Linked DNA regions of Cricetulus griseus. The protein of the gene in region 1 interacts with the protein of each later gene in a pairwise test. Links are inferred from orthologs where the notes say so. Each region holds a gene or a part of one and is shown in the gene's direction. Other genes may lie near its edges.

Region 1 (4,420 bases):
CTCAACTTTTTTTAAGGACTAAAGGATGAATAACTTACATGAATTGAGTGAAGGGAATACGAAACAAACAGCCTGGAGAAGAGTGTTGTAGAGATAGGGAAAGATACAAGGAAAAGTTCAGAAGCAGGAAGTTAAACAGAAAAATGTCCGATAAAGTTAGAGCATGCTAAGCAAGGTATACCAAAGAGGCAGTTATGGCCCAGCCAGGCATGTCTTTGTATGAAAGACATTAAATATTTTTGAATACTTGAATTCTTGGATACTTGATCTTGTCACATGAGAAATAAAGAGTTGTAATCAAGACACAGTTTTATCTCATTTTGAAAATGTCTTATTACTGTGTGAAAAAAAGGTTAAAGAGACAAAAACAAGATGATATGGTTAGAAAACTATTGCAGGTTAGTATGCCAAGAACAATGGCACTTAACTGTACTAAAGAGCAGCGTATGCAGAGATAACAAGGGCAAATGGTATAGGGAGGAAACTATATAGATGTAGTGATTTATTAGATAAGAGGAGTGATTTGTAGTATCAGGTTTGGGTTGAGGAGTCTGGAGCCCAAAAGCTGGAGAAAAGCTATCAGCATTTAGATGGAATTTAAAGCTGCAGGGGGCCAGGGAGATACTGCCTAGAAAGTATAGAATGAGCTTAGGACAGAATACTAACTAATTTTAATATTTAAAATAAATGTGGTTAGAGGTAGTGGAAGCAATTATACTGGGAAATCCTGAGAAAGGTGAAAGGGAAACTGGAAACACATTGGTTAGAAGAACAGTTAAGACTATGTTAAGAGCATGATAATGATTATCCATGGAATCTAAGTTACATAAGACAGGCCATGAAGGTAGAAGTTGATTAATAGAAACAGAGGGGGTCAATGATTACAAACTCACTTTGTTGTTTTCTTGAGACAGGGTCTCTCCATGTAGCGCCACTGTCCTGGAACTCACTATGTAGACCAGGCTAGCTTCAAACTCATAGAGGTCTGCCTGCTTTTGCCCCCTGCCCCCTCCACCAAGAGCTGGGATTAGAGCCATGCACCACCACGCCCAGGTTGAATACAAACTTTCATTGAGATTCAACAGTGCTACAGTAAGGAGCAAGTGAACTTGGAGCAAAACAGTTATTTTGAAGATGATACATTCTCTGGGAATGATATAATTCTATGTGTGATTGGGAATAATTGGAGAAAGCTGTAAGCCATTATAAATGAAGACAATAAGGAACTGATAAGCCAGGATATATAGAGTTCACCAGGGAGGAAACTGTAGACACACACACACACACACACACACACACACACACACACCTCACATGTACAAGCTGCAAGTATCACAATTATCAATTTAGCACTTTACACATTGTTCATATCCTGTTTCTTTTATGTTGTACTGGCAGCAAGAGCAGCTCTGGTTTTGAAAGTACAGTTCCTCCAGGCTCCTTATGGCCCTAGTTTAACAACATCACTTGGTAGATGCTGTTTTGCCAATCTAGGAAGGTTATTGTTAGTATTAATTTTAGAATGTTTAGTCAGGTGCCTTTAATCCCAGCATTCCAGAGGCACAGGCAGGCAGATCTCTGAGTTCAAGGCCTGCCTGATATACAGAGTGAGTTTCAGGACAGCTAAGGCTACACAAAGAAACCCTGTCTCAAAAAAATAAAAACCAAATAATAATAATAAAATTGTTTTAGAATGTTGGATCGACTCTGAAACATTATTTAATAGAGCACTGTTTATTATCCAAGCACTGAGAAAAAACTGAAAACAAAACCTTTCCTTTTACACCATTAAACTAGCCAGGAAAGAAGGAATAAGCTCTGTTTAGTAGGATTGAATGTTGATGCTAAGCAGCCATTTGTTTGGAAATTTCCAAGGTGTGTTGTGGGATGCGAGCCCCTGTTTCTAAGTGCTAGTCTCAGTAGTAATTGTGGTGATGATTATGGAGGTTTCCAGGACAACAAGATACAAATGCAACAATACCTTTCCTTGGAGTTTCTAAAGCTGCATCAGTTCCTGCACAACAAAGAAAAGGACATTCTAAATGAACTCCGGGATGAGGGGAAAGTCTTGAATGAGGAGATGGAGCTGAATCTGAATCAGCTTCAGGAACAGTGTCTTCTTGCCAAAGACATGCTGATGAACATTCAGGCACGGATGGAACAGAATTCCTTCAACTTCCTCAAAGTGAGATTCCACACCGATTTGATTATGGGTACACGTGAAGGAGGGAAGAGGGCCTGGACTTGTAGAGGGAAAGGAAGCAAACCCTAACCAAGTTCAACCCCACCCAATCCACCCCACCCCACCCCACCCCACCCCACCACAACCCAACCCACTGCAGTGCTTTAAGATCCTCTGTGAGAAGCTGCTTTTGTTCTATGTTCAGTAGAAAACTGTGTTTCATCTTCCTATGAAACACGATTAGTACAATTTCATCAATAATGTTATATGAATCAATATTTTTATTTTCCCATAAAGAACCTTGTAGCTGGAGTTACAGTTAGTTTTCAAAAAGTATGTATCTGATAGCCGTTGTTGAGTTTGGGGCTTACAGAAATCATAAAGAGAACTATTTAAAAATCTTTCTGTCAAACTTTGCTACCTGAAGTCTCACCTCTAAAACAACACTGGTGATCACTTTAGTACTCACAAGTTTGGTCACCCTTGGCACTGGAACTGCTTCTAATCTTTTCTTGTGGGAGTATTTAGAAGTGCTCACTTAAAAAAGAAAAGTTGACCTTGACTATCGATTTACTGGCTCCTCTCCTATATCTTAAAGAGCTGGAATCATAGAAATCAGTAGGTTAGCAAATGAGAGGACAGCTATCATGGGTTAGATTGGGTGCTCATTAGAGAAAGCCTGTGGAGGATGAAAATTGTTGTTGGAGATGGACTGAGGATCACATGCACAGAAAGCCAGGATTGATGAGTAAACCTGGATGGTGATCAGAATAACCAGACAGATCTCTAGAGATGATAAACAGACACCTGACAGCTCTATTTCTCCTTTTCTCTTTAGGACATCACAACGCTCTTAGATAGGTAAGTGCTTTTCCATGGTACTCTATCCCCTTCCTTCTGCCCCTGGAGGATGTCTAAAAAATAAACTATTTGTGTCCCTTACAGCATGGAGAAAGGAATGAGGGCACTCTCACCCAGACAGCTTATCTCCAAAAAGCTGAGCCCAGGCCGCTTCAAAGGTCCCATCCAGTATATGATCTGGAAGGAAATGCAGTCCATTCTCTGTCCAGGTATAGTGGGAAGTAGCTACTCATTCCTATGGCCCCTAATCTACATTTCATCTGTGGGGCCTCTGCTGTGTCCCGTTAGTTCTTTAGCTTAAGACTGGATGAAAATGGACTTGGGTGGAGTTTTAAGATTTATTTCTGTATTTTATGTACATGAGTGCTCTGTCTGCATGTACTCCTGCATGGCAGAGAGGGCATCAAATCTCATTGTAGATGGTTGTGAGCTACCACGTGGTTGCTGGGAATTGAACTCAGGACATCTGGAAGAGCAGCCAGTGTTCTTAACTGCTGAGCCATCTCTCTAGCCCTTTGGTGGAGTTAGTCAAAAAGACTTTTTCTTTTTCTCCAGCTGCTATGATCTAAGAATATGTGTCTTTGAACTAACAATGCATGATAATCTAGTATTAGAATCACTCTTCAGCCCATGCTTTTGTTTGCTCTAGCATGTGTAGAAATGGCCACAATATTATCCTGTTTTGCTGCATCAGTTGTATGATTCTCTGGAGTGTCTCTGCTCTGAAGGCATTTTCCATACATACTCCTTGTATATATTTAGTCTTTATAGGTCTTTTAGTGCTTGACAGTCATAGCATAGAGCACAATATCCTGAGAGTGTTAGAGATCAACAGTGCTTCGACAAAGACCAATTCTTCAGAAGAAAAGCTTATCTAATTTCAGTCGATAGTCTAATAAGCATGTTTTTGTGTTCTTATAAATATCAAAGGACTGAACAGGACAAAATAACACAAGTGGTATTTAAAGAAAAAGAAATAATATTCTAGATAAGATGTGTATAGAAATAAAAGTTTAGATAGCTTTCTCAAAATTCCTATAGATGTTATTATTGTTTGTTATTGATTTTAACTAGGTTTAGTTAAAATCATAAATATATCCCAGTCACATTTTCAGGTGACTAACACTGAAAGAAAACAACTTCAATGAAGTATAATTATATATACCCAGTGTATAAACAGATTAGTTTTAATAAACAGGTAAATATCTCTGTGAGCAAGATACAGATAGATGGGGGCCAGGGAGATGGTTTAGTGGATAAAGTGCTTGCTGAACAAACACAAGGACCTGAGTTTGAATCCCTTGCACCTATGTAAAAAGTGAGGCATGGTGGCACACAACTGTAACCCGGCACTGGGGATGGAGTTGGGGAAAAATG
Region 2 (3,814 bases), about 28 Mb from region 1:
GCCGCACCCGGCTGTCAGTCAACCATTGCGGCCACTGCCTGGCCCTCCTTCCCTCTCCTGGAACACTCGGGGCCGGCGGGTTCACCTGCCAAGCCCCGGAAGTTGCGGAAGTTGCGCAAACACCGCAAACACCGGCTACTTGAGCCTGGTGGGCGGGAGGCGCACAGGCTGCAGGCAGGAGGCGGCTTGGGTAGCCAGGTATGTTGCGGTGCTGGGGAGGGGGGAGCGCAGCAGGGACTGTGGATTCAGTCCCCGTATTCGAAACAGACGTGGGCCAACTTCTGCTCAGAGAGGGACAGCAGATCATGGGGGTCACACAGCCTTTGCTCACCTCAAGGCTTGCCCCTAGAGTCTCTAGGATTTCTTCCAAGTGAGGAAGAACCGAAACCAAACTGGGGCCTTCCTGGTGGCCTGATCCGTTCTTTGGGAACCTGAAGGGAGGGACAAAGTCGGGTTCTGGAACTGTGACCAGAAAGGCTCAAGGTTTATGCATTTAGGGCCGTTTGCGGCAGCATTTGAAAACCCATGGTGAGAAGAGTCCCCAGAGGAGACGTTAAATCTCACTTGGCGACCCGGACCCAGGCTGCCTCTCTGAGAGGCCCCTGTGACGTGAGTTGGTGCGGGTCTGCTGGCTCATTGTGATCAGCCCCTGCCAGATGTCTCCTTTGTGTCTGCTGGGGCCTAGATCCGCCCTTCTGGATCGTGCTTAGAAGACTCTCGGAGGGGGCGGGTCTGCACACTCCACAGTCAGAGCCTCAGTATATGTCAGCCAACCTGGTTTATTTATGGAGCGCTGGCCATTTCCAGGTGCTACGAACCCGTTTGATCTTTCCAGCGGTGACCCGAAGGCACAGGGAAGTCTATTTTTAACTCCGGTGAACAGATAAGGGAACAACAGTCTGTTAAGAGCTGCCTCTTGTGCAAGGTGCAAGGCAGGGGCTGGTGGGAAAGTGGGCACCCAGGTGGTTACCAGGCCAAGTTTGGCAACAGGCACCTGTCCCCGCCCCCATCTTTACCTAGAGTTAGGTGGTGGGTATAGAAGCAAGGTGGTGGTGGCGGGGAGCTTCTGCCCTGGCCCTGCCCCTCTGACCTCCTTCCTTTTTCCCAGGTGATGTTTGGGAGGGACTGCCTCAACCACTACCAACGGGTTGGACTGGTTTGGGTGGCAGAGCAGACGTGGGGGGTTAGGGAGGTGGGGCAGAGTCTGGCAGGGCTCCGGAGCAGCTCTGCTGGCCAGACCTTTCCTGCCCAAGGTTACCTGGGGGGTCTACTTGAGTGGAGCCAGCCTTCCTTTCCTTCCTACTAGCCCCTTGAGACTTGAGAGCAGCCCTATCCCCAGCCCCCACACCACTACTGTACTGAGGTTTCCATGGGTGCTGGGGAAAGCAGGTATGTCTGCAGATATGCTATGCTTGCCTGGTACAGGTAGTCTTTTAAAAATGGGGATGGAATTTGCTCACAGTTACAGACCTAGAGAGCCCCTGCCCCTCTGGATCGCCAGCCCTGGGAACATTACACCCCTTACCTTGGACCCACCTGTCTGTAGTGGGTGAGGCTTCTCTAGCCCACTGTGGTGCTGGTTCTCAGCTGATCCCCCCCACCCAGGCCTTTCAGTTCAGGACACACTTGTGGACTATTTAGCATGTATTGAGAGCCACACCATGAAGCTGAGACCCAGTGAACAAAGCAGCCGAAACTTCTGCCCTCATGGAGCTGATACTTTAGGGAGTGGGGGACAACAAAGAGAGAACCATATCCACAGTAAGTTCTATGGGACCCATGGCTATAGTGAGAGAAGAAGCAGGTGTGTGTGTGTGTGTGTGTGTGTGTGTGTGTGTGTGGTGTGTGCGCGCGCGTGTGCCCATAGTGTGTGGAAAAGCTGTATGATGGGACTACCATTTTAATCTCCTCTGGGATCTAGGGAAGTCACTTCTCAGAGTCTCAGTTTTCCCTGCTACAAAATGGTGACAGTGGCTTCCAGGCTGTTGGAGATGATACGAGAGAGTGCGGCTTTGAGTGTCTGGCACACAATGGGGATCCCTGTTATGGGATGTCTGTATGTCTCGGTGATGCTTTTACTGTGTTTAGGCATGCTCTCGGTTTCAGTGCTGTCTAGCATAGTAGCCTCCATGCACCCATGGAGAACTTGAAGCATGGTTGGTATGATTCAGGAGCTAGTGGTGCTGGGTGACCTGAACTGCCAAGTGTCTGTAGCCCCCAGGCTAAGCCCCTCCCCCCTCTTTACAGATGAGAAAGTTTAACTTGGGTTTTACATTGCTACGTTTCTGAGGGGCTTGGGTGGTGGGGGAGAACTGTGGCACTTTCTAACCATGTTTTCTCGATGCCTGGGATGATCTTCTGTTGGACAAGTATGGGACTACATGAGCACCCAGGCATGAGCCTTACAGCCCATGCTCACCTTCATGGTAGTTGGTCAGCAGCATAGCTCTGGGTGGTGCTGTGACCTGGACAGTTCTTTGCACAGCATAGCTTGGGGCTGATGCTTACTCCTCTCTGCGTGCCTTGATCTCTGTGGGCTTGGCCTTGGAGCCATATCCTGGAAGCTACTTGGGCTCCACTAGGGTGGGGGTGTGGACTATCTTTCTGCTCCTCCCCTGCAGCCTCTGCTTTTGTGCCCTTTGTGGGCCTGGCATGTCCAGGCAGGAGTCTGGCACTGCGAGGCTTCCTGCCTGGGCTGGTTGTGGGATGTTGGTGGTATCTGGCTCCTCTGGGCAATTCAGGTGGGATGTGGATGGCGGTCATTCAACCCCAACTGCCTGGTCACTAGTACCTCCTATCTGGGGAGCAAGGGAAGGCTTAAGCAAGTTCATTGCCTCCCCGAGCTTCAGTTTCCCTATCCGTAAATGGGGCTGTTGAGAGGACCCTGGAGCTGAGCCTGGAGCCTTGAGCCTCCTTTGCTCTTTTTAAAACGGACCTGCCTTCTCAACCTCTTTCCTCCCTCCCTCAGCTGTGCGGGTCCCCGCCCACTATTGGAGGGAAAGGGTGTAGGTGGGGCCACAGGACTTCCAGTAGTACATTCTGCCTGATGATTGGCTCTTCGCGAGGCAGAGGCGTGCCCTCTACCTTATAATAGCTCAGGCTTCGCAGTCAGGCGAGCCTTTGTCTGAACGTGCTCAGCCTGTCTTCTTTCCTTGCTTGCAGCGGAGCCCGGCATCCAGCTGCCAACTTTGTGCCTGTATCTGTCTCCTCGCCTCGGCCCTCGGGGCATGTAACTGCCATGCCCGTGGACACGCTGAGCCCTGCAGCCCCTGCAGCTCCCACCCTACCTTTTCGCCTGCGAACCAAGGTCCCAAGCTACCTGCTACCAAGGCCAGCAGTTGCGGGAGCCCGGAAGCCGAGTGCTGTGGAACGCCTGGAGGCTGACAAGGCCAAGTACGTCAAAAGCCTTCATGTGGCCAACACCCGCCAGGAGCCTGTGCAGCCCCCGCTAGCCCGACAGCCCTTCTTCAGCGCTGCTCGTGGGCCAGTGCTCACACCCAGCCGCCGAGCCCTGCCCTGTCCTGGACGCAGGCCCCAGCTGGACGTTGACATCCTTACCAGTCTCATCAACCTGTGTGATAGTCCCGTGTCCCCAGCTGAGGCCAGCCGAACGCCTGGACGGGCAGAAGGATCTGCCCACAAGGTCCCACCAGCCACCCCTCCTCGTCCACCGCCTAGTACAGTCGCCGTGCGCCGAGTGGATGTTCGTCCCCTGCCTGCTTCACCTACTCGTCTGTGTCCATCGCCTGGCAACACTGCCACCTCTAGCCCAGGCCGGCCCCCTGGTCTGCAACGTTCCAAATCGGACCTGAGC

Evidence for each region.
Region 2: the proteins of E3 ubiquitin-protein ligase TRIM69 (region 1) and Fam110a interact in binary tests that used the Homo sapiens proteins (3 or more experiments, as listed by UniProt). The two-hybrid records come from large-scale screens. The link is inferred for Cricetulus griseus from reciprocal best matches to the Homo sapiens genes TRIM69 and FAM110A.

Annotation. Positions count from the first base shown.
Region 1 is NC_048599.1:56,257,229-56,261,648, reverse strand, and holds the start of E3 ubiquitin-protein ligase TRIM69, read left to right. Parts: upstream 1-1,608; 5' UTR 1,609-1,969; coding exon 1,970-2,185; intron 2,186-3,020; coding exon 3,021-3,043; intron 3,044-3,127; coding exon 3,128-3,252; intron 3,253-4,420.
Region 2 is NC_048599.1:28,044,486-28,048,299, forward strand, and holds part of Fam110a (protein FAM110A), read left to right. Parts: intron 1-3,162; 5' UTR 3,163-3,238; coding exon 3,239-3,814.